Coturnix japonica: one gene and its partners. The protein of the gene in region 3 interacts with the protein of the main gene of each other region in a pairwise test. Links are inferred from orthologs where the notes say so. Each region holds a gene or a part of one and is shown on either strand. Other genes may lie near its edges.

Evidence for each region.
Region 1: the proteins of SYT4 (region 3) and SGTA interact in binary tests that used the Homo sapiens proteins (3 or more experiments, as listed by UniProt). The two-hybrid records come from large-scale screens. The link is inferred for Coturnix japonica from reciprocal best matches to the Homo sapiens genes SYT4 and SGTA.
Region 2: the proteins of SYT4 (region 3) and NBR1 interact in binary tests that used the Homo sapiens proteins (3 or more experiments, as listed by UniProt). The two-hybrid records come from large-scale screens. The link is inferred for Coturnix japonica from reciprocal best matches to the Homo sapiens genes SYT4 and NBR1.

What each region holds. Positions count from the first base shown.
Region 1 is NC_029543.1:2,301,846-2,308,503, forward strand, and holds the end of SGTA (small glutamine-rich tetratricopeptide repeat-containing protein alpha), read left to right. Parts: intron 1-407; coding exon 408-470; intron 471-897; coding exon 898-935; intron 936-1,689; coding exon 1,690-1,779; intron 1,780-1,992; coding exon 1,993-2,107; 3' UTR 2,108-2,116; intron 2,117-2,420; 3' UTR 2,421-3,694; downstream 3,695-6,658. Other genes in the region: SLC39A3 (zinc transporter ZIP3), read left to right, coding at 6,417-6,623. UniProt on the Homo sapiens protein: Co-chaperone that binds misfolded and hydrophobic patches-containing client proteins in the cytosol. Mediates their targeting to the endoplasmic reticulum but also regulates their sorting to the proteasome when targeting fails.
Region 2 is NC_029542.1:4,753,562-4,760,909, reverse strand, and holds part of NBR1 (next to BRCA1 gene 1 protein), read right to left. Parts: intron 5,783-7,348; coding exon 5,720-5,782; intron 4,364-5,719; coding exon 4,345-4,363; intron 3,959-4,344; coding exon 3,936-3,958; intron 3,102-3,935; coding exon 2,955-3,101; intron 2,409-2,954; coding exon 2,334-2,408; intron 2,198-2,333; coding exon 1,980-2,197; intron 1,404-1,979; coding exon 1,239-1,403; intron 800-1,238; coding exon 593-799; intron 1-592. UniProt on the Homo sapiens protein: Ubiquitin-binding autophagy adapter that participates in different processes including host defense or intracellular homeostasis.
Region 3 is NC_029547.1:3,043,668-3,051,640, forward strand, and holds the start of SYT4 (synaptotagmin-4), read left to right. Parts: upstream 1-3,417; 5' UTR 3,418-3,926; coding exon 3,927-3,960; intron 3,961-6,663; coding exon 6,664-7,478; intron 7,479-7,973. UniProt on the Homo sapiens protein: Synaptotagmin family member which does not bind Ca(2+). Involved in neuronal dense core vesicles (DCVs) mobility through its interaction with KIF1A.

The DNA of each region.
Region 1 (6,658 bases), on a different chromosome or scaffold from region 3:
CTGTGCTGGCACGCAGTCACCTTGGGCTGGGAAGTGAGGCTGATTAGAAGGAGCTTTTAGAAACACTATTTTAGTATCTTAAAGGGGATTTCTGCCTTTTAGAGCCTCCTGTAGCACGGAGGTGGGCAGGTGGGTGTGTTTGACTTGGCAGGTGTGGTGGGTTGGGGCAGGACGTCACTAGCACGGCTGGGCTGGTGCAACAATGCGTGTGATGCCATCATTGCTATCAGCATGTGCCCTTTGCCTCCCTGAGTGAGCTGATCCCCATCCTGCCCTTTGTCATGCTTTAAAGACCAGCTTCTGATAACACTGGGAGCATCGAGGTACCATTCATTGCAGCGTGCTGTTTATTGCATCAGAAAGTGAGAGGATGTCACCACCCACGTGTGGTGTCTTTATTCTTACAGACCGGAGGTCCCGGAGGATTCGATTTAGCTGGCTTGCTGAACAACCCTGGCTTCATGAGTATGGTAAATGCGGGCACAGATCACAGCCAGGCTGTACTCAGTCTGTGCATTTATCCATTAAAGATGAAACGTTTTGGGACGTGGAGTGGGGTGTTCCTGTGTCTCATGAGCAGCTTTGCTGTCGTTTCTTGGTGTTGCTGCGAGGAAGCTGTGCTTGTATTTTGCACCCAAGTCAAATAAAGAGCCAGTGACTTATTCACAGGCTGCTCCTTGTGACGTGCTGGGTGTGGAAAGGGTGCCTGTTCTGCATTACCAGCCTTGTCTTGTGTGTTGCACTGTGCTTCTCTTTGCTATTTTTGTCCTATTGATCTGTTTCCAAGTATTTCTGCCTTCGCTTTGTTCCTAGTTGAATGGCACAACATCTGCATATCTACCCAGGCATTTCTGACTAAATAGGGTGTCATTTTTTTTTCTTCCCCTCTTTAAATAGGCATCTAACCTAATGAACAATCCACAAGTACAACAGCTGTAAGTTTGATCCCGCGTTCTCTTTCCTCTTTGAGTCACTCCTTTGAGGCTGTGGTGGGAGGGGGGTGGGTGCTGGAACCAGAAATGTGGAAGGCAGCCCTTAAAGCAGCCGTGAACCAGTGTGTGTTTTGAGTACTCTGGGCTGTGTTGAAGAGGAACCTCAATAGGAGGCATCTCACCCTCTGTTAGAATATCTCTATTCCTTGTAATGCAGAGTTATGGGGATCAATTCACATCTGTCCGAAAGCTGAGACAATATAAAACCATGAAGTGAATAAAGCCTCTCCAGTCTGTCCCTTCAGAGCTCAGGCAGTCAGTGGAGCCCTTCTGGAGCTCAGCCTTACTGTATGAGGCAGCCCTGCTACAAAGCCAAACATCTGCCACCATTTCCATTTGCTTCTGCCTGCTCCTTCCACTCCTGTTGTCAGCTGAGGTTCTGTGCCAGGTGCAGCCTGAAGACTTGAAGGGGCTTTGCAGACCCTGCACTGATAGCCATGAGTCAATGTTGAGGCTGTCAGTAAACCTCATTTGGTGCAGAGCTATCAAATACCTTGTGTGAGGAGGAGCAGTGTAATAATTAAGCATAACACCAAGGAGAGAGGAATATTTGTCAGTACAGTAAGAAGCTGTTATAAATACTTCTGCATATCATGCAGCTTAATGATACAATTGCTCTTCTTTTCCCCTTTTAGTATCAAACAAAAAAGATTTGGGTGTGTTTTTCTACTCTGAGCAATGACTCTTCTTTCCACAGCATGTCTGGGATGATTTCTGGTGGCCATAACCCCATGGGAGCAGCAGGCACCAGCCCCTCCACAAATGACCTTGCCAGCCTCATACAAGCGTGAGTAAAGAGCTGGCTCTTCTCCATGACCTTAATCACTAAACAGACTTACAGATATTGTGATCAAAAGTAAAAACTTCAGTTAAGGGTTGAGTAAAGCTGCACTGTAACGTGAACTGCTTGTTAGAGCAGGGTTCTGGCAGTCACCTGGGATGAATTCCATAGCCCTATGGGTGTGTGAGGACACAGTAACTGTAGCTTGTTCTCCTGCAGGGGCCAGCAGTTTGCTCAGCAGATGCAACAACAGAATCCTGAACTAATAGAACAGCTACGAAGCCAGATCAGGAGTCGAACTCCAAGTGCCAGCAATGAAGATCAGCAGGAATGAGCATTACAGGTGAGGCTGCGGGGAGGATCTCAGTGTTGTGCTGCAATATCTGCCTTGTGCCTTCACTTAGCAGCTCAGTTTCTCTTCCCCTCCATACAGACTGAGCTCTCTGCTGCTGCTGTGCCTTGGGGAGACGCAAGGCTCAGCTCTGCAGAGCTTTGAATAGACCTCCCTCATGCTTTGTGACTGGCAGATGAATGGTGTTAGCAGTTAAAGGGGGCTGCTGATGTTATAGGTCTCTGATGTTGAATTGGGGTTGCTGTCTTTACTCATAAACTCAATTCACAAATGTCTTCTCTTCTTGTCTCTGCAGTGCAGTCCGTGGGATTCACCTTCTTTGCTTTACAAACTGGAAGCCATGTGCGTGGTGCCATTTGAATTGGAAGTGTCCAAGAAGGGGAGAGAGGGGAGGGGGGGGGATAAAACAAACCCACCCCCAACACAAAATCCTTCCTATGACCTGCATGTTCAAGACCAGCTTCACACTTTTCTTCCCCCAGTCTTCGTCCTGCTCCTCCCCCTCCACCTTTCCCATTAAGTTTTCTTCTGGAAGATCCAGCAAACACCAAACCAGCACCAAACAGTCTTTCTAAAGAGACTCAGTCATTCACGACGCTGTTACATTTCTATGGTCTTTGCTACGTTGGAGGGCATTTTTTAACCCCTTTTTGAAGAACGATGAGCTCTTCACTACAGGACACCTTTGCTTTCCTGCCTACACTTCAAAGAAGTGTTGGAGTCCCACCTCCATCCTGCTTCCCCTCCATCTTCCTGCCACTTACAAGACAGTGACATTGGAGACCACTGGATCTTCTTACCTCCAAGGACAGGCTTTCTCTTGATGTTACTCATTCAGGTCTGTAGCAACGTTGTGTTGTTCACACACATAGGATCCGATGGCTGCCTCTCTAAGGTTCCCATCATTATATTGGATGGGTTGGGATTGATGAGGTAGAACGAGCGTTTCCAGTTACACCTCTTGGGGTCCATCCCCAACCTTGACAAGAACTCATTTAGTGTTAATAGTAATTAGTGTTGGAATGAGCCAATCTGTGAACTAGTCGGGTGGACATTAAGGAAAGATATCATGTTTTCGGTGTTTAAAAGGTTTCTCTTTTGCTTTTTGATGCATGTAAGTAACCAACCCAGTTGATAATAGGAGTAAAGAGAAGGAAGGATGGAATAAGAAGCAGAAGGAATCCAAATGCTCCTTGGATATAGAAGGAAATACATGGAAATAGAGAATGAAAGGGCTGCTGGTTCAATGTGGGAGGATGGAGGAGATCCTTGTTGCTGGATACCTGCAGCTTCCCACCTCCCACAGCATCCTGGATGGGGATGGAGGCTTTGGGATCAGCTATAGGGCTGTATTAAAGGGTTTTCTAATGTATGGGGCCCTATTGCTGGGCATGGGGGCAGCTGGATGGCTGAGGATTGAATGGGAGATATAGGAGACCTGGTGGTACGAATGAGCAGGTATGTTGAATATCAAGGGAAACCAACAGATCTGTACATGCTCCGTAAATTTAATCTGTGGTTCATGTAAACTCGTGAAGAATAAACTATTTGGACACTCTTTGCTATCTATCCCCTTCTTATCACAGTGATTGAACTATCCGGCTCCATCAGCACAGCGGACAGCGCTGCCAACGGAGCAACCCGGAACCTTTCATCGCGCTGCGTGTTTCCGGCGGACTCCATTCTGCTGCACACCCCCCTAACGGGGAGTGGGCGGGCTGATTGATGTCTACCTCAGCCAATGGGAGCTTGTGATTATCATCTCAGCCAATAGGAGTGCGCCGCACGCCTGAGGGGGCGGGCGCTGCGCGGGGGCAGGCAGGACGGGGCGCAGGAGGGGAACGGAGAGTGAGTGGGGGGCGTTGGGGATGGGGGGGGATGGGAGGGAACGGGGGTCGGTCCTGAAGGGGTCGGAGCCGGCCCTGAGGGGGATGGGACGGTCCGAGGGGGGTCTCTATTGAGGTAGCAGCGAGTTGAGGGCTGTTAGTGGGGAACTGGGGGTGAGGGGGGGCTGTGGTGGGGATTGAGGCCTGTGGGGGGTTATGGGATATGTGGGGGGTTATGGGATATATGGGGGGATTTGGGGTCAATGTTGTGGGATTTGGGGTCAATGTTGTGGGATTTGGGGTCAATGTTGTGGGATACGAGGTCTCTGTGGGGGGATGTGGGGTCTGTGGGGGGTTATGGGGCCTCTGTGGTGGGATATGGGCCCTCTGTGGGGGGATATGGGCTCTGTGGGGGGTTATGGGGCCTCTGTGGGGGGTTATGGGGCCTCTGTGGTGGGATATGGGGCCTCTATGGGGGGATATGGGGTCTCTATGGGGGGATATGGGGTCTCTATGGTGGGATATGGGGCCTCTGTGGGGGGATATGGGGCCTCTGTGGGGGTATATGGGGCCTATGGGGGGATATGGGGTCTCTGTGGTGGGATTTGGGGTCTCTGTAGTGGCATATGGGGCCTCTGTAGGGGGTTACGAGGTCTCTGTGGGGGGATATGGGGCCTCTGTAGGGGGTTACGAGGTCTCTGTGGGGGGATATGGGGTCTGTGGTGGGTTATGGGGCCTCTGTGGTGGGTTATGGGGCCTCTGTGGTGGGTTATGGGGCCTCTGTGGTGGGTTATGGGGCCTCTGTGGGGGGTTATGGGGCCTCTGTGGTGGGATATGGGGCCTCTGTGCTGGGTTATGGGACCTGTAGTGGGACATGGGGCCTGTGGGGCTGCCCTACAGTTGAGGGGGGAGGCTCAAGCTGTGGCCCTGTGCACGGGGCCGTGGGACACCCCATTCCGCCCCCACCTCCCCAGGGTTGTCCATACAGACCCCATCACAGCCCCCTGCTCCCCCTCCTGGGCTCCCTGTGTGCTCTCTGCAGGCTTTGGGGGCATTCAGAGCAGGGACTGGAGGCCCGGCCTGTCTCCCCTGCCCACTAAAGCCACGCAGTGCCTATCCCACATTCATTCTTTGTTACAGAGGTTTCTGTGCTGCCAATATATCCAGGTGTCAGAGGCATCAACTGCTGCGGGCTGAGAAGAGCAGGAGGTATTTCCAGCCCTTGTTCACTAAGCTGCTTTCCTCAGAGGTCACAGGGCACATAGGGCTGCTCCAGTGCTGCCATCAGCATTGAGGCTCTTTGCTGGGGCTGGGTTAAATACAAATGTCTCAGATGCTGGAACACCCTCAGTGCTCTTTGCTCCTATCCCAGGAGCTGCCTGGTACCTTCACACCCAGAGCAACGAGCTCTTCTCTGTACAATCCCAATGCGTTGTCACTAACATTGGATTCAAGACTTGAGAAGCCCGGTGTGACAACATGCCATCGCTATGCAAGGTTATCCCCTTGTTCTGTTGATGCTGAAACCGCAGTGTGTGCATTGCAAAGGCAGCCTGGCTTGTTGGCTGTGTCAGCAATGTACTGACAGGCACTGGAGGGCCCAGAGGCAGCATCTCTGCCCATCAGCAGCAGTGACAGCCTCAGCCCTCCTGTCAGGATGTGCCCAGCTGGGTTCATAGGGTGAGTCCATCAGTGTCATCTGCTGCTGCTGATGGACATCACTTCGCACAGACACCCAGCTGAGAGCCAGCCCTGCTGCAGCCAAACTGCTGTGACCTCTCTTTGCTCCTGTGTAGGCAGAGCTTGAACTTGAAAAGAAGGTTTTAAACTCCCTCATCACTCAGAGCATCCATCAATCCCAACTTACTTGATCACACAATCACCATGTACAGCAGCCTGCTACACAGGAGGGGTTGTAGTGATTCATCCCATCAGCCCTCAGGGGAGGTTTTACCCACAGGAATCTTTGGTTTTGAAATTAATCTGATGGTCCAATAGGCAGCTATCCAATTATTTTACCTATTTTACCCCCCAAAGCCCCACGTGGGTGTTGAAATGGGATCTTGAACTCCATTCCTCAATGAAACCGAGAGCTGCCAGCTCAAGCCTTTACTCATTCCTTGTGGTTAAAAGCAATTACTCGATCCTTTGAGCCCAGGTGGATCTTATTGCAAGACTGAGTGGTTTTAAACCTCCACCAACTGAGGCTGTGCCTGTTCTGTGCAGCCCAGTTTGGCTCTCACAAGGTTTTGGAGTTCCTGCTTTTGCTGCAGTTCAGTTCTATGTGGTCTCCTCCAGAGCAAAGGCAGAGCTGAGGTCAATCCTACACAGGTTGGGGTGCAGGGTGCTCTTCTACACACTAAATACACAGGAAATCTCTTCTCTCTCCTGTCCACAGCTACAACCTTTCCCTGTGCTTTCCCTTGCTGATGTGCCCGCTCTGAGAGCTGCTGCAGGGCAGCACCATGAAGATCGTGGCTGCCAAAGTGCTGTGTCTGCTGGGCATCTGCATCCTGATGCTGGCCGGCTCCCTCCTCCCCGTCAAAATCATCCAGGCAGATTATGAGAAGGCTCATCGCTCCAAGAAGGTCATCACCCTCTGCAATTCCTTTGGAGGAGGGGTCTTCCTGGCCACCTGCTTCAATGCCCTGCTGCCTGCTGTGAGAGGAAAGGTAACCACTTATGAGCCCTATGGGGAACTCAGCTA
Region 2 (7,348 bases), on a different chromosome or scaffold from region 3:
AGTCTAAACACCACTCAGCAGTTTGCTTAGCTTAACTAAAAAGGAAACATATTTGCTCATTTTGAAGAATCTCTATAAATATTACAATATCGAGGTTTAAAAGAAGGGTTCACTGCTCTTCAGTTGATATTTAATTTAGTTTTAAAACACTTTGGTCAATGCTACTACACTGTTACAGAAGAAAGTCACTATCTTTCCAACTTTGAATCAACTACTTATAGTTTAGTGGTATCTTATTTGGCCTTACATGCAACATTGTTTTTTCAGTAGGTACCACAGATTTGCCTGAAAGGCAATAAATTAATACGCAAATAAATAAAAAGCTCTACTGATAGTTTAGTGCACCAAGAGAGGATTGGTGAAGCAGTTCACCAGCAGTTCACCATCATTACACACATGTAATCCTATGCACTCTCCTTCCCTTGCCAACCTACATAATCATCTATTTAGACACAATTTTCACAGGATTCAAACACAAACAATACTATGAATGAGAGACAACTTCACAGCCTTCCTCATTACTTGAACTTGGTCTCATCACAGATAGCCAGACAGTGCAAATAAGAATTGATTGGCTAATAACAAGCCTTACGGTATGGTACTGTGTTGGAGATTTTCTGACTTCAGAGTTGGTGAGCCACTAGTTTCCAATACAGGGACAGAGTTCCACAGGTGAATTTTCCTGTGCAATTTTAGCTGCTTTTTGAGCTCCCGGACCTCTGCCTTTCGCTGTTTCTTCTCTGCTCGTAACCTCTGCTTTTCTGCCTTCAGAAATCTTTTGTCTATCTGCTTCTGGAGCCTGCAGAGAGAATCACTTTGTTAAGCATACTAATCTGATTAAAATTTAGCTTTAGTCAATACAGTCTCAGAACACCTCAGGTAACACCTCTTGTTTCTAGACTCGATACCAGACAATTCTCAAAGAACATAGCTGCTGACAAAGGTATTTAGAATAGCCTTGGTCAAAGAGAAGACAGATCAGACCATGCTCAAAAAACAAGCAAGCTCTCAAAGACTACTACCTATGATCTTTTCTATTTTGCTATTAAAAGCTCTGTAACAAAGTGACTTTAGTCAGGAATCTAGGTATAGAACTATTTTTAAATACTCTCTGCAGAGTACCATTTCCTATTTTGAATAAATCTGAATTCATAAAAGCAGAACGCTAACTGCAAGACAGGTTTTCTATTTTACTGCCAGGACAGTCTTACCAGGTACTAACAAGTGCCATCATTTACCTAACTTGCTCCAGAGTAGTGGGCAGGCAAGGTGAAAACTGTGCAACATCATAGTTTTCAGCAACACATAGCGTAGGCCTTCGTAGCTTTAGCAAAATATGATTAGGATCGTGTCCATACACTCCTGCTTCACACTGTTCACAAATATTGTAGGCTGGACAGAGACTGCAAAGTAGAAAGGGTAGAACATTACCAGGAGGTAGACAAAGAATTAATACACTAGAAAAGAAAGAATAACAATTAATCTTTCCATTTAAAAACAAACAAACAAACAAAAACCCTCAGAAAAAAAAAAAAAGAAAAAAAAAAGCATTTAATCCTTTAAAATCACTGACCATAAAACAACACAAAACAACAGAAAAAAAAACACAACTCTCCTTTTAGTTCTGACAGACTGGTAGCTATAATTTTCATGCTTTTGTTAACTTATCAAGGAAAGTACTTGGTTAGCTTAACTACTGCACACTGTATGTTAGAAAAAGTTTTGAAGTGCTTGAGAATAATAGGAGTCTGAAAATTGTCTTCCATTCTTGTAAGAAATTTTTTTCAAAACATTCTTAATTTTTCTTTTATGCAGATAAAGACTGTTTGCAACAGCAGAGAAAGTAAGCTCTTTATGAGATACATACTAGAGGTTCTGAAGCCTATACCACCCATCAGACTAGAAATAAGAAGATGGTTTCTCAAACTCTCATTCACATGCTTAAGTTTTCTATGGGGTCATCGTTCATCATGTTCTACCTGCACTGGTAGCGAACTCCAACAATTCGATCCTGGCAGTTGCAGCAGGAGATCAGCCAGTCACGTTGATTACCATTCTTTGTTTGGGTCTCTGAACCAGGAGGTGCTGCTGTAATAGAGCTCTCAGAGAAGTCTGAAGACTGATTGTGATGAATAAGCTTCTCGTATAGCTTCTGTTCTAGTTGCTCAACAGTTTCCTTCACCACTTGCTCCCTGAACTGAAGAGGAAAAAAATCATCACTAAGATGGAGATTCAAGATACTGATTTTACAAGGCATCACAGGTATCAATTCCACCCAAAACCTCTCAAATTTTAACACTCTTAAGGGATTATGCAAAAGAAAATACACTTACAGTTTCCAAGTAGCTAGTAAACCATTCTGGAGGGCTTTGATTTGTTCTTCCTGTTCTACTGTGATTTAACTTTTGCTGGTGAAGGGAGGGAAAAAAAAAGTCAAACACATCAAATACATGGAACTGTAAAACAAACCAGCCAACCAAACCACACTTTCAGCATAGCAACCACTTTGAAATAGCTCTCTCCTCAAGTGTTTTTTAAAATAAAGATTTCAGGCTCTTTAGAAAACAGCAGGAAAGTCAGACAAGGAAGCCACTAAAGTTTTCCTGAAAGATTTCTGCCTTATTTGCATTCACATACAATTAAACATCGAAGCCAAAGCAACTGAGTCAAACAAAAATTGCTAGAAGGCAAATCAGACCTTCAGGAGACCGTTTTATTTATCAAGATATTCATAATCGTCAAAAAGAATGAACCTCTAAATATAGCATCAAAACATCCTCTTATAGATATTCAAACAGTGTTGTGACCTTCAATGGCCACATTCTGGTAGCTACAAGGACCAATTTGTGAGCTTAGTTTTTTAACAAATGGGAAAAAAGGATAATCAGGCTATGAAATGAATAACGTTCCAATTCTTTGTTTTAATGAGAATATAATCCAGGTCTTCATCCTACCTGAGCTGTCAGCTCATCTTTAAGAACTGCCAACTTCTCAGTGACTGTTTTTTCATGCAGTTGCCAAGAACAAGATGAAGCTTCTTTCAGAGGAGAGTTTTCTTCATACACATTCATCTGTAGCTGATTTCCTTGTTTAACAGCAATCTAAATAAACACAATTTACCATATTTATTCCACTTAAAACCAAAATACAAAATCATGTAAAAATACAGCATTATAGTGCACCAGAGAGGCAAGGATGGAAGAGGGGGGTAGGAAAGGAACAGCAAAAGACATGAAAAATTGAGTGACAGACCAAGCTTCTTATATTCTGCCTTGTAACCAATATGCTTATTAGAAAGATCACTACAAATAAGTTTATTAGGCAAATATTCTGCAGCAGTTCTAAAATCTACAATAAAGCTGTTTACATAAAGCCAGTAAACAACAGAAAATCTCACAAGGAACCTGAAATAAGTTTTCATGCATTATTTTCAGATTAGAAATGCAAACCATAAGTTCTGAAAGCACTAGTGCTGTACAATTCAAAGGAATGCAATCCTTATTTGGTCTAGAAAAAAAAAAAAAAAAAAACCAACAACAACCTGTTGATGAAGTAACTAAGCTCTTAACATGAAAGGAAGTTTTATTGCCAGAGAGTATAACACTGCAAAGCGCACAGCTAAATTTTTAAATGGATCTCGTAAGAGCCGAGTACCTCCAAACATGGCATTACTGCATGTTTGATGAAGTCAGTGATTGTTCACTGTATGCTTACAGCCCTGAACCACAATATACTCAAATAATTAATACCATGTCAAAATCGGCCTGGCTGGACTAAAGCGTAGCAAAATATTCAAACTATCATCCAAAGCAGGAAAACTGAGCTACATGCTATATATAGCATGTGAGCTCCACATGCTAGATAACGCTATTTTTTCAGCTACAACAATCCTCATTAGAAAGCTGAATATACTGAAAAATTCAGAGACCAGTTACCTTCAGAGCTTCTTCATATTCCTCTGAAAAGAAAAGAGAAACATGTGAATGTTTCCTACATCAAATACACGTAAATTTAGCATACAGCATTTAAGAACCCTTTCTTCTAGGAATTCCCTCCACACCTTCAATAAATTATTTTAAAGTAGCTGCTGCACATGTGGCACCAAGGAAAGGCATGTAGCCTTTATTAGAGTTAACATTCCATTAACTCACTCATAAAAAATAAATAAATAAACAAACAAACAAACAGTTACAATGTATCATACATTTTCTTCTGCTGGGAAGAATTTGACACACAAGCATGTATGAAATTTCAACAAGCAAGGTTTCTCAGCTGTTTCTCCCTACAGTAACAGCTGAAGTCTATCAACAAGCCTGGTTTTAGTTCAATAAAACAGCAGCTTACCTTTGCTATTCACAGAAACCTGTAAAGAGAAATAATAATGAGTAACAGCCTGTTAATTATTTTTGTAGTTCTAGAAATCAACGTGCTTACAAGGTAAATGTACTTTTATTCAGTTTCTTAGGTACCTATCATTCTTTCAGATTTTTGTTATTGCTGCAATGTTTAATTATTAACCAATGCTGAAGCGTTTTGGACTAGATCACGTTCTTTATTAGGTTTGCACCACCAGCAAGGCCCCTGGCTCCACTGGCACCCAGAATAAGCATGGTCTCACTCAGCAGAAGTAAACCAGTGTTGCTATCACAAGGCTTCCTACGCAATTAAACAGAGGTTGGACCCAGTTGCTGTTAATACCAAGAATGCAACACTTATGTGTTCTTGATCACAAACCAGGCAACACAATCTGCTACAGGTGCTCTTTTTTCTTTTTTAAATCAAAATTTGCATAAAGAAGTTATTCATACAAGGAGTCATTTAATTGCTACAGCATTACATAATTCTAATATTTACTCTATTAGCAAATGAAAGAGATCTTGAGCAGACACACACATTAAACAAGTATACATACATGTTGACAAGGAAAGAAATAAAGGCTGGAAAATAAGGACAGAATCTTTCCCTGCAATGTTTCTGGAAGTGTCCTGACATTTCCCATTAGGAATTTTGTTTTGTTTTGGTTTTTTGTTTGTTAAATCCTCATCTCTGCAATCTAGCCAAGCGGCAAATCTATCTGTAGAGCTCAGACTGCTCAGCAACTCTGTTCTGTTTGACAGCTACATTCCAATCTAAACTCCAGATAAGCAGAAAGAATGAGGTCAAAGTTATGACAAACAGGAAGTTACTCAACAAGGACAACTGGAAGTAACTAATTTGCCTTCTGAGTCAGTAATCTGCTTGCAGATTATAGCATTCACATAAAATAAGCAGGGGATTTGAGTATACCAGATCACTGAAGTAAACATGGGCTAATGCCAGGGGATCTCAGAAGAATGAGCGTAGATTGAAGAGACAGGGCTTTATTGTGGCTTCGGACACAAGCAGTTACAAGTACTTTACTCTGATAAAATAATAATTTAAAAAAACTAAAAATTCCTCAACAGAACTTCCCATTCCTCAGAACACAAAGAAACACTAACTGTTTCTGTAGGGTTATACTGGTGTTAAAAACAGAAGCAATAGCTTCTGTTTGAAATTAGGAATGCTACATTAAGAGTGAAACCAAGAGACTATCAGTTACATTTTTTCTCAAAGGGACAAAGCTCACCACCTCTGCAAAATATATGCTCCAGAAAGACTGACTATAAGAGGCATAAAGGTTCACAGCAGTTGTATTTCAGAGATGGGAGGGGAGAGGGGGACAGGGGCAGCATTATACCTCATCATTATCCTCATCAATGTATTTTATCTGAATGTCATCCAGGTCAAATGAAACTTTAACCTGCAAGCAAAAGAAGAAAAATTAAAACAAAGTCAATGAGACAGGCCTCCAGCAGATTTCAGTTAATCATGACCATTAACAGGAAAAAAAAAAAAGGTCCCTTCCCTCTCAGTTTCAGTTTTACAAAGTCTGTTCTTCTGGAGTTAAAAAACTCTTCCCAGCGTCTTCCCTAAACCCCACTTTTTACCAACTTGCCACAGTGAAAAGCAGAAAATCATTTATTTAGTGTTCCAGCTTCTCTAGTTAACGTTTACCCAGCAAATCAAGATCACAGAATAGCCTTTACATGGTAAAGGGACTTGCTCAGGGTTAATGAACTCAGTCATGGAAAACACTGCAATTTACAGAGGCTAAAGCCAACAATCTTTGAACACTAGCTTGTGCATTAAACAACACCTGGTACTGACAAGCAGCCTTTCTTTCCCCTGACAAACCTACCTGAATTTTGAGAAACTAGAACAAATGCAAGTTAAGATGAGAGGAATTTTACATTCTACTACTCCCTGGCAGATTCACTGTACGCCTGAACACATAAACCCATGATGCATTTCCAAATAAGAACAACAAATCCAAATAGCTATATTGTATTAACAGAGCAGAATTCACAATATTAAATGAACTGTAAACAAAAGTAACTGTAATGTTGAATAAGACTTTGAGGCCCATGTGCATTTTTTACACACAAACCGCACTTCTCCAAGTCCGCTCTACTTGAGGCATATTCTGTCAGCCTGGTTCTAACAAAAGACCTCTAGCCATCTGGAAGACAGTAGATGTCTCTCACAAGACAGCCTCACAAGAGCTACCTCTATTGCAGAATTTATAGGTGACTGGTGGGTCCTTTCAGTGATATAGCCCAAATTAATTTTGGGAGTGCAATGAGAGAACAAATTCATCGTGAAAAAAATGCCGATTTAAATATATCTCTGCACCATAAGTTGTTCCCCAGAACTCAAGCTACAGCCATAAATTTGCCTGTCCTTTTTAAGCACCAGACATATTTACTAATGCAGTAAAACACAAGAAATAGTTTAGCTAGTACTACCATGAAACACTGCAAAGTGCAGGATCATCCTTGGTTAGAGAAATAACCCTAATGCAATAGGGGCTCATGCCTCAACTAAGCACACTCGTTCTTTGAGCACCAAGGATTAAAAGCAATCTGCTTCCAGCTCTGATGCAAGTAGAACACAAACCCACTCAAACATTCCTACACAGCCTACCCATCAACAACTACTTTAAGACTGAACTAACACCTCTTCTTGAAGGCGGAAATACAGCCAGGAAAGCATCATACAGCTTAGGTTTAGAATCTGAGTAAGTCCTCACATAAGAATATCCCACCGTATATATTATTTTAGCTAAAAAAGAATTTGAGAGAAAATAAAAACAATGGTAAGATGCAACTTGGTGAATAAACTAAAAGCAAACAAACAAGAAAAAGAGAAGAATTGCTGCAGAATAAATAACAACACTGTCACTACATCATAACCAACAGAATATTTATTGCACTGATTAAACTTCATCCAACAGAAGAGTCTGCAATAACTAGAACCAGAAATGAAC
Region 3 (7,973 bases):
GACCACAGAAGGCCCTGATGTGATACAGTCAGCCAAACTGTATACAGAGATATTTTTCAGATGATCAATCCACTTCAATTCAGTGCATGCAAAATCTCACCTGGCTTCTTTTGATGTTCTGTCTCTGAGCTGAAAGTATTTGAGATTATTGTATTTAGTTTTATTGGAACACTGAGGAAATATTAGCTCAGCAGTGAATTCTTAGTCCATGTTTTCTGAAAAGCATTTTGCAAACTTCACGAAGTTTTTCTAAAGAATCCATGTTGTTTTTCAGAACAGAATAAAATGCAAAGAAAGTGTATCCACAATGAGGGAGAGTCACTATTATATCAGAAAAAATAAAAATAAAAAAAAAAATATCCTGAAATAGAAATTTAATTGATTAAAAAGCACAGAGGGCTCAATGATGATTTTTTTTTTTTTCCCCTCTACTCACTTTTCAGAACTGTACATGAAGAAACAGTGAGTCAGCAGTATTTATGCTTGTGCTACTTACATGAGTGTATTCTATTCAGTTGCTGATGATGGGTCTAAGACGTACACTAGATGGTGCTTGCACAACACAGGGAACGAAAAGTACGTCTGTCTCAGGATGTGTCAGCAACTCAGTACTCTGCCTCTTCTCAAGTATTTTCACTATGTTCCATTATGTGGAATCCTATAATTAAATATAGAAGCTTCATGAATGTAGTAAAAGACTGGTTATCTGCTATTACACTCACCAAGAAATAAAATCATTCACTTACGTATTTGTTTATATACTTACATATACCTATGCATACACTCAGTCTTATCAGTTCCAAATGCCTAAATACAGAAGAGAGATACATTTTCTATCATGTCTTGAAAAGCTACATTTGCACAGAACTGAGTAGAAGGGAAGGTCTCTGTACAATATTTTTGTACAACATCTATCACCACAGGATTCTTACTCAGTGTGTGATATCTAAGATGAAATACAAGGAGTTGGGGGGGGAGGGGGGGAGGGGAAGTACTAATTTTAAAAAGAACATGTATCACATTTCAGCAAATTTGTCACAGACAGTCAAAATAACATAAAAGAAAAAAAAATCTGGATGCTGAAGGAAGGTCTTTCTGTGAACTATACATATATACTTATGAAAAGTATGGAATAGTAAAAGAAAATCTGAAGAAAGAATTTCTACATTATCATGAGCTTCAATATTTGTTTCTATTTAGACTAAGGATATCCCAGATTTCATTAATGAAAGTAATTATTATTATTATCATCATTGTCATCACAAATTATTTACAATCATACAAGTGTGGTCATGTGATGCCCTAGCTCAGCTAGCACTGGTAACCAAGTAAGCTATTTTTTGTACATTGTTTTTAAAGTCCAGTCATAATAACAGATTCTAATAGTTTAATATTCCAGTTAAAGATATTTTAGTCCTTTTTTTCATATGTGTTTTGATTATGTCAGCCATATCAAGAGGCTTGAATACCTGGAAAGGCGTCTAAAACTAAATGAAATTGTTTTCAGTGGATGTGCATTTTGAGAAAGGAATTTTGGTGAAAAAACTGTATTGACAAACCACACCTAAAAGCAAAGTATCAGGAATGGTGTGGTGGGCAGGACTAAGGAAGTCCTCCTGCCCCTGTACTCAGTATTAACGACACCTCTCCTCAAGTACTGTGTTCATTTTTTGGCACCTCAGTATGGAAAGGACATGGAGGTGCTGGAACAGGTCCAAAGAAGGGCAACAAGACTTGTGAAGGCCCTGTGAGGAGCAACTGAAAGAATTGGGTCTGTTTAGTCTGGGGAAAAGGAGGCTGAGGGGAGACTGTATTACTCTCTTCCAATACCTGAAAGGTGCTTACAGCGAGTGTGGGATTGGACTCTTCTCACTGGTGACAGGTGGTGGGATGAGGGGAAATGGCTTTAAGTTGTGCCAGGTAAGTTTAGGTTGGATATTAGGAAAAACTTCTTCTTTACAAAAAGTGTTGTTAAGCACTGGAATAGGCTCCCCAGGGAGGGGTTTGAATCACCATTCCTGGATGTGTTTAAAAAACCATTTGGATGTGGTGCTCAGGGACATGATTTTGCAGAGGGTTGTTAGTTAGGGTAGTATGGTTAGGTTGCAGTTGTACTTGATGATCTTTAGGAACTCAATCTTATTGATTCTATGATTCTATGTTTTTTAAATGGCTTAAGATATAAGGAAGTCTAAGGTAGTGGATACAGCTACACATGAAAGAGATGGGTAGTTACATGTAACAAGACAAACTGCTGAAAGTACAAAAGAAGGAGAAAAGCACAGTTAATATTAGCCAATATATTTTCAGTTCTCAGGACTAGGCAAGTGCTTTGGTAATAGCTTGTTTTAATTCCTTAGAATTCCCTTTTTATCATTACAAATGCCAAGGAGCTTCACTGGCTTCAATGTAAAACAAGAACATTCTTTGAATTGGGCCAAGACATACCAGCACCTATGCAGCCCATTGTGGAGCACAGTGATTCCAGACTATCTCAGCATTTGAATTTTGTTATTTAGATGAAAAACAACACCTGCTTCCCATTTATGCAGCAAAATTAACTGTTGGGATTCAAAGTTGGCTGATACAGTTCATTTTGAATCCTGAAGTCAGATGCCAGATGCTGGCTTTTGCAGCTCTGTTGCACTACGATTTGTTCTGGGTTACTATAGTGGCTCTAATTTTGGGCAGCCCTGCTTTTCTTTTCTGTTTCTCTCAATTCCTCTCATCTGCCTGCCACTTACCCCTATCTCTCTAAATGTTCTTAGTCCAGACTTTGGGACTGATATGCAAATTGTGTAAAATCCAGATGTGTCTCAATAGATTCAGCTCTTTTCCAGGCAAGCAGGAATATCAAGAGGAGAAAAAAAAAAAAAAAAAACACATTTGCAGAGTGAAGGTTCAGGGTATTGTGTAGAGCTAGGTGATAAGGAAAATCAAGGACAGGGGATAGGGAGAAGGCACACTGGGAGTTATTATGATTCAAAAAACAGTAAGTGTATCATATCAGTCATTGCAGAAATATGTTCTTTTCTGTTGGAGCCAAAGCATCTGGATCATCTGAGCTGGCATCTCCTTCACATTATTGTAGCCCATCCAGCTGATAGATAAATAAGCAGATAAATAGATCTTACCCCAGCAAAACAGACACACCCGTATATTACACAAGGTGCACTGAATCACAGCCATTAACATTCCTCTTTCTGTGTCCAGCAGAGGGTGGGTGCTCATATCCTGCAGCAGGGCAGTTAAAATAATCGATGAGTGTGTGTTCAATCCCCAGAATGATAGAAGGGGGGGGAGGAGGGAAAGAGGGGGGAGAAGGAAAGAAGGGAGGGAGGGTGTGGTGGCCATGGAGGGGGGGCAAGGGGAGGTGGAGGGGGGGGGAAGGGAGGTGGGAAAGGTGCTGATTTCAGCCCTGTAGCGTCAGGATTGCGTCAATTTGGGTTTCAACCACGTCTTCAGTCTCGGTGCGGAGCTACTCAGAAGAACCAAAACAGGAAGGGGGTTGGAAATCAGTGTGCAGAGGGGAGGACCGACGCTCCCCCTCCCCCCACTCCTTCAGCCCGATCACAGCCTCCTTCTTCACCTTCCCCACTGCTTGTGTCTCCGGGTTTTGTTTTTGATAGTTTTTCTTTCTTTCTTTCCTTCTTTCCTTCTTTCTTCCTTTCTCTCTCTCTCTCTCTCTCTCTCTTTTATTTATTTATTTATTTATTTATTGTTATTCCTCCGTGGAAAAGCCTGCTGTCCGGTCTCTGCGAGAGAGTGACGAGCCGAGAAACAGCAGAGCATCACATTCGGCACTTTGAGCAGGGGCCGCTCAGCACCGGAGAGGGTGACTCTGCTAGCCCGGACAGCCTCGTCGGCCAGAGGCTCCAGGACCACGGACAGCGGCTCCAGTACCGCGGACAGAGAGCACCACCAACATGGCTCCGATCTCGGCCAGCCACCAGCAGTTCGGTAAGTGCGTCCCGGCCACAACTCCCTGCCACGGGGATGAGAAGAGCATGCAGGCAGCCACTACTGAGCCACCCCGGTGCCTCCCAGACTGCTGGGAGGAACAGAATTTCTTCTAGTTCTCTCTGATACCAGAAGTTGTGTGAATTTGCTTTCTCCCCTTTTTCTTTCTGTTCTTTTTCTCCTAGCCATTCCCTCTGGTATATCACTAGGAGAGAAGGAGGGGTTTGACTAGGTGCATTTTTGTATGGATGAGTTGGGAGTTGTTTTATCTGTCTTGGTTAAAATATCATGGCTTCGGAGTAAAATGCTGTAAACACATCTTGTGCCACAGACAAAATCTTCATCAAAGCCACTCTTGGGATAAGAATCCTTTTATCTTGTCATAGAGAAAGATTTGTAGACTGTTAGCAAAAGTGAAATATAGTTGGTTAAAGAACACTATTGAAAAGATGGGAATACAGTAATCCAGTGTCTCTGGCTAAATGTTCCTATCTGTCTATTTTTTGAGAATACCAATGATGACAATGAACTTTTCAGTCATGCCATTTCTATACACTTACTGTAGCATGAATAACTGTGATGCAGAAAGTTTTAGAGACATTGAAAATACAAAATGAATAGCATTACTCATAAAAGCTGTAAATTGTAATGTTTCGGAACTCTGCTTTACAAATATTGACTCAAGCCTAGATGTTATTTGCTTTACCAGTGGTTAAATTCAAGGATCATTCCACTGACTTAAGTGAAGTGACTCCAAATTTACATCACATAACTGAAATAAAATTTTCTCCCAGGATCAATAGGTGTTGTTTCCTATTAGTACACTGCCTTGAATGTTACCTGATTTACATTATTACAACTTGTTGTAATGTAATTTTTTGTGAATATAAAAAATTTTAGATATCTTCTTCTTTCCTACCTACCCCACCCATCTGATATTTCTAACAACACTCATGACATCATCCTTATCTAATTACTTATTTAAAGAAGTTAATTAATATTTCAGATACTAAATTGATTTTACCACTTCTTCCAGTAGCTGTAGAATAAAAACACAGGGTGGTTTCCATTACTATAAAAATTTTAAATGCCAACTCATGAAAAAGTATTAAAAATGTATAGATCACTCTTGAAAGCTATTTAAAGTATTCTCATTATCTCTTAATTACTCCTTGCTTTCTACCTTTGTTTCATTTACTTTTAAATTTTTTCAGCTAAGATAATACTTGAAACTCAGACAAAAATGCTTGGCTTAGAACAACTCCACTTTTTAAAATTCTGCATATAATTTTTAGTCGCTTATTGACTTCTCACAGTTAAACATATATTGATACAGCTTGTGGGCAGAAGTGATATGTTTATTGTCAGAAGAAACTATTAACAAGGCCTTGCACTTTCTGTACTGGAACATTTTGTCCTGCTTTTTTGATAATGTTATGTTTTTTGTTTTAGTTTTGTTTTTTTGTTTTTTACTCAAAGTCAAAGTTATGGTGGTGGTACATCTATTAGAGCTTTTACCCAGATAAAGCATGTTTAGTAATGTGTACAATAGGATAGTTTTGCTTTCCTTGTTCAGAATGATCTGCTAATTATTTGCTAGAGGAACTGTAACACAATTGGCTTTATGCATAAACAATGTCATTCTATTAATATTCTACTAGTCTACTAGTGCAGAGAATAAAGATTAAGCTCTTATCGTTACACTGTGGGAGGTTTAAACTCACTTAGTAATGTTACTTATGGGCAAAATTGGATTTCCAATTAGTTGTGCTCATTTGCCCCTTCAATCCATGCTTGCAAATGGCTAATGATACTCCATATGCAACTGAAGTGTCCACATGGCAGTTGAAATTGAAACATTTGGATAGTTTTTTCTTCATTCAGATTTCAAATATAGGACTGTTATCAAGGTAGATGAAAATTACATTTTAATGTTTCTTTTATATACTCAAAAGAAGTGATCCATCATGTATGCTCTCTATAGCTTTGATTCATAGAGTCCCAGAATCAAAGCTTAGAGGGTATCAGTGATGCACTTAAGTTTCATAGCTTTTGACTCACATGCAACTGCCAAATGTTATATTCATCTGCAGAGGAAACTTGGCATGTAACTATTCTAAATTTTCTTAATAGACTTTCTCCTAGAATGTATTGAAAATCCTCTTGAAACTCCTCGGTGTTACAACTACCTGAAAAATTTGATTTCTTTCAACAGATACCTTCAGACAATTATGGGATCAGTCCATAAAGCTGAGTTGAGTACAAAAAGCATTTTAGGAAACTATGTGAAAAGCAGATGATAAACCTATAAGGAACAGATATATCAGAATTCCATCTAAAAAATACAGTACAATAAAATCAAAGATAAAACCTGATCTAGTTTTTCTCACTGACATATAAACTCCAAAATTACACAAAAAATGATGAAATAGCTGATAAATTATTCATCATAATTACTGTTGCAGTGGGAACAGTATTTTCCTTCCAGACATCCTTTGTATGGAAAAATACTAACAGCATGAGATTAAACATTCACGCCTGCAGGTGGCGAACAATGCATGCAATGAAATGCACTTTCAGTATGTCAACTGCTCCTGTTACCATCTCGTATCAGTTTTCCTGCCTAAATTATCATTTTATTAAATATCACAGAGTAGAAGAAATTGCTGCTTATTTGCTTGTTACTGTTTATTTGATTTGCAGATGAAATTCCTACAGTTGTTGGGATCTTTAGTGCATTTGGCCTTGTCTTCTCTGTCTCCCTTTTTGCTTGGATCTGCTGTCAGCGTAAATCATCCAAATCCAATAAGACTCCTCCGTATAAGTTTGTCCATGTTCTGAAGGGAGTTGATATTTATCCTGAGAATCTCAACAGTAAGAAGAAGTTTGGAGTAGATGATAAAAATGAAGAAAAGAACAAATCAGAAATGTCAAAGAATTCTCTTCATCTTGACCTGGAGAAGAGAGATCTAAATGGCAACTTCCCAAAAACAACCTCAAAAATGCAGAGTTCTCCAGACTCTGAAAATTCATCTTCAAAGCACTTTTCAGAAAAGAAGAAAGATTCGGTTTCCCCTGATAGTTTAAAATCCACTACATCCCTGTCATCTGAAGAAAAACAAGACAAACTAGGCACTCTCTTTCTCTCTTTAGAGTACAACTTTGAGAAAAAGGCATTTGTAGTGAGCATCAAGGAAGCACGTGGGCTGCCAGCAATGGATGAACAGTCAATGACTTCTGATCCCTACATCAAAATGACAATCCTTCCTGAGAAAAAGCACAAGGTGAAAACCAGAGTGCTGAGGAAAACCTTAGATCCTGCTTTTGATGAGACCTTCACGTTTTATGGGATCCCTTATAGTCAAATTCAAGACTTAACGCTTCACTTTATGATCTTGAGCTTTGACAGGTTTTCCAGAGATGATGTCATTGGAGAAGTCCTCATTCCTCTTGCAGGAATTGAATTGTCGGAAGGAAGGATGCTAATGGACAGAGAGATCATCAAAAGAAATGTTAGGGTAACATATTTCTTATTTAAAGTTTAGAGGTGTTGTACTGGTTTAACTATGATACTTGAACAATATTGCTAGCATCCTGGGAAAAAAAAGGGAAAAGTTTATCAAATGTACTGCTGAGATCTTTTCATTAGGGCAGTATAAGGAAACAATTACACAAAAATAACAAAGTAACACTACAATAAGCATTTTGCAATAAAATGTTAATTTTCCAAATTCTTCTTGCTTACTCAGATGATCAGCAGGTTTTGGTGGATCTATTCACATTAGGTCAAGAGGCATAAATTAATTTTAATTTGCTTTGATGAGAAAGAATGCAAAAGAATATACTTTATTATACTCTTCCTACATCTTTCCTGTTTTAAATATATATATATTTTTCTCTCTCTCTCATTGTCTTTTAAACAATCTACATTTCTTCTAAAGATCCTAAGTTATGAGGGAGCTGTTAAAATTACTCCAAAGTCAGTAGAAAAGCACAGTGATTTCACTTGGCTA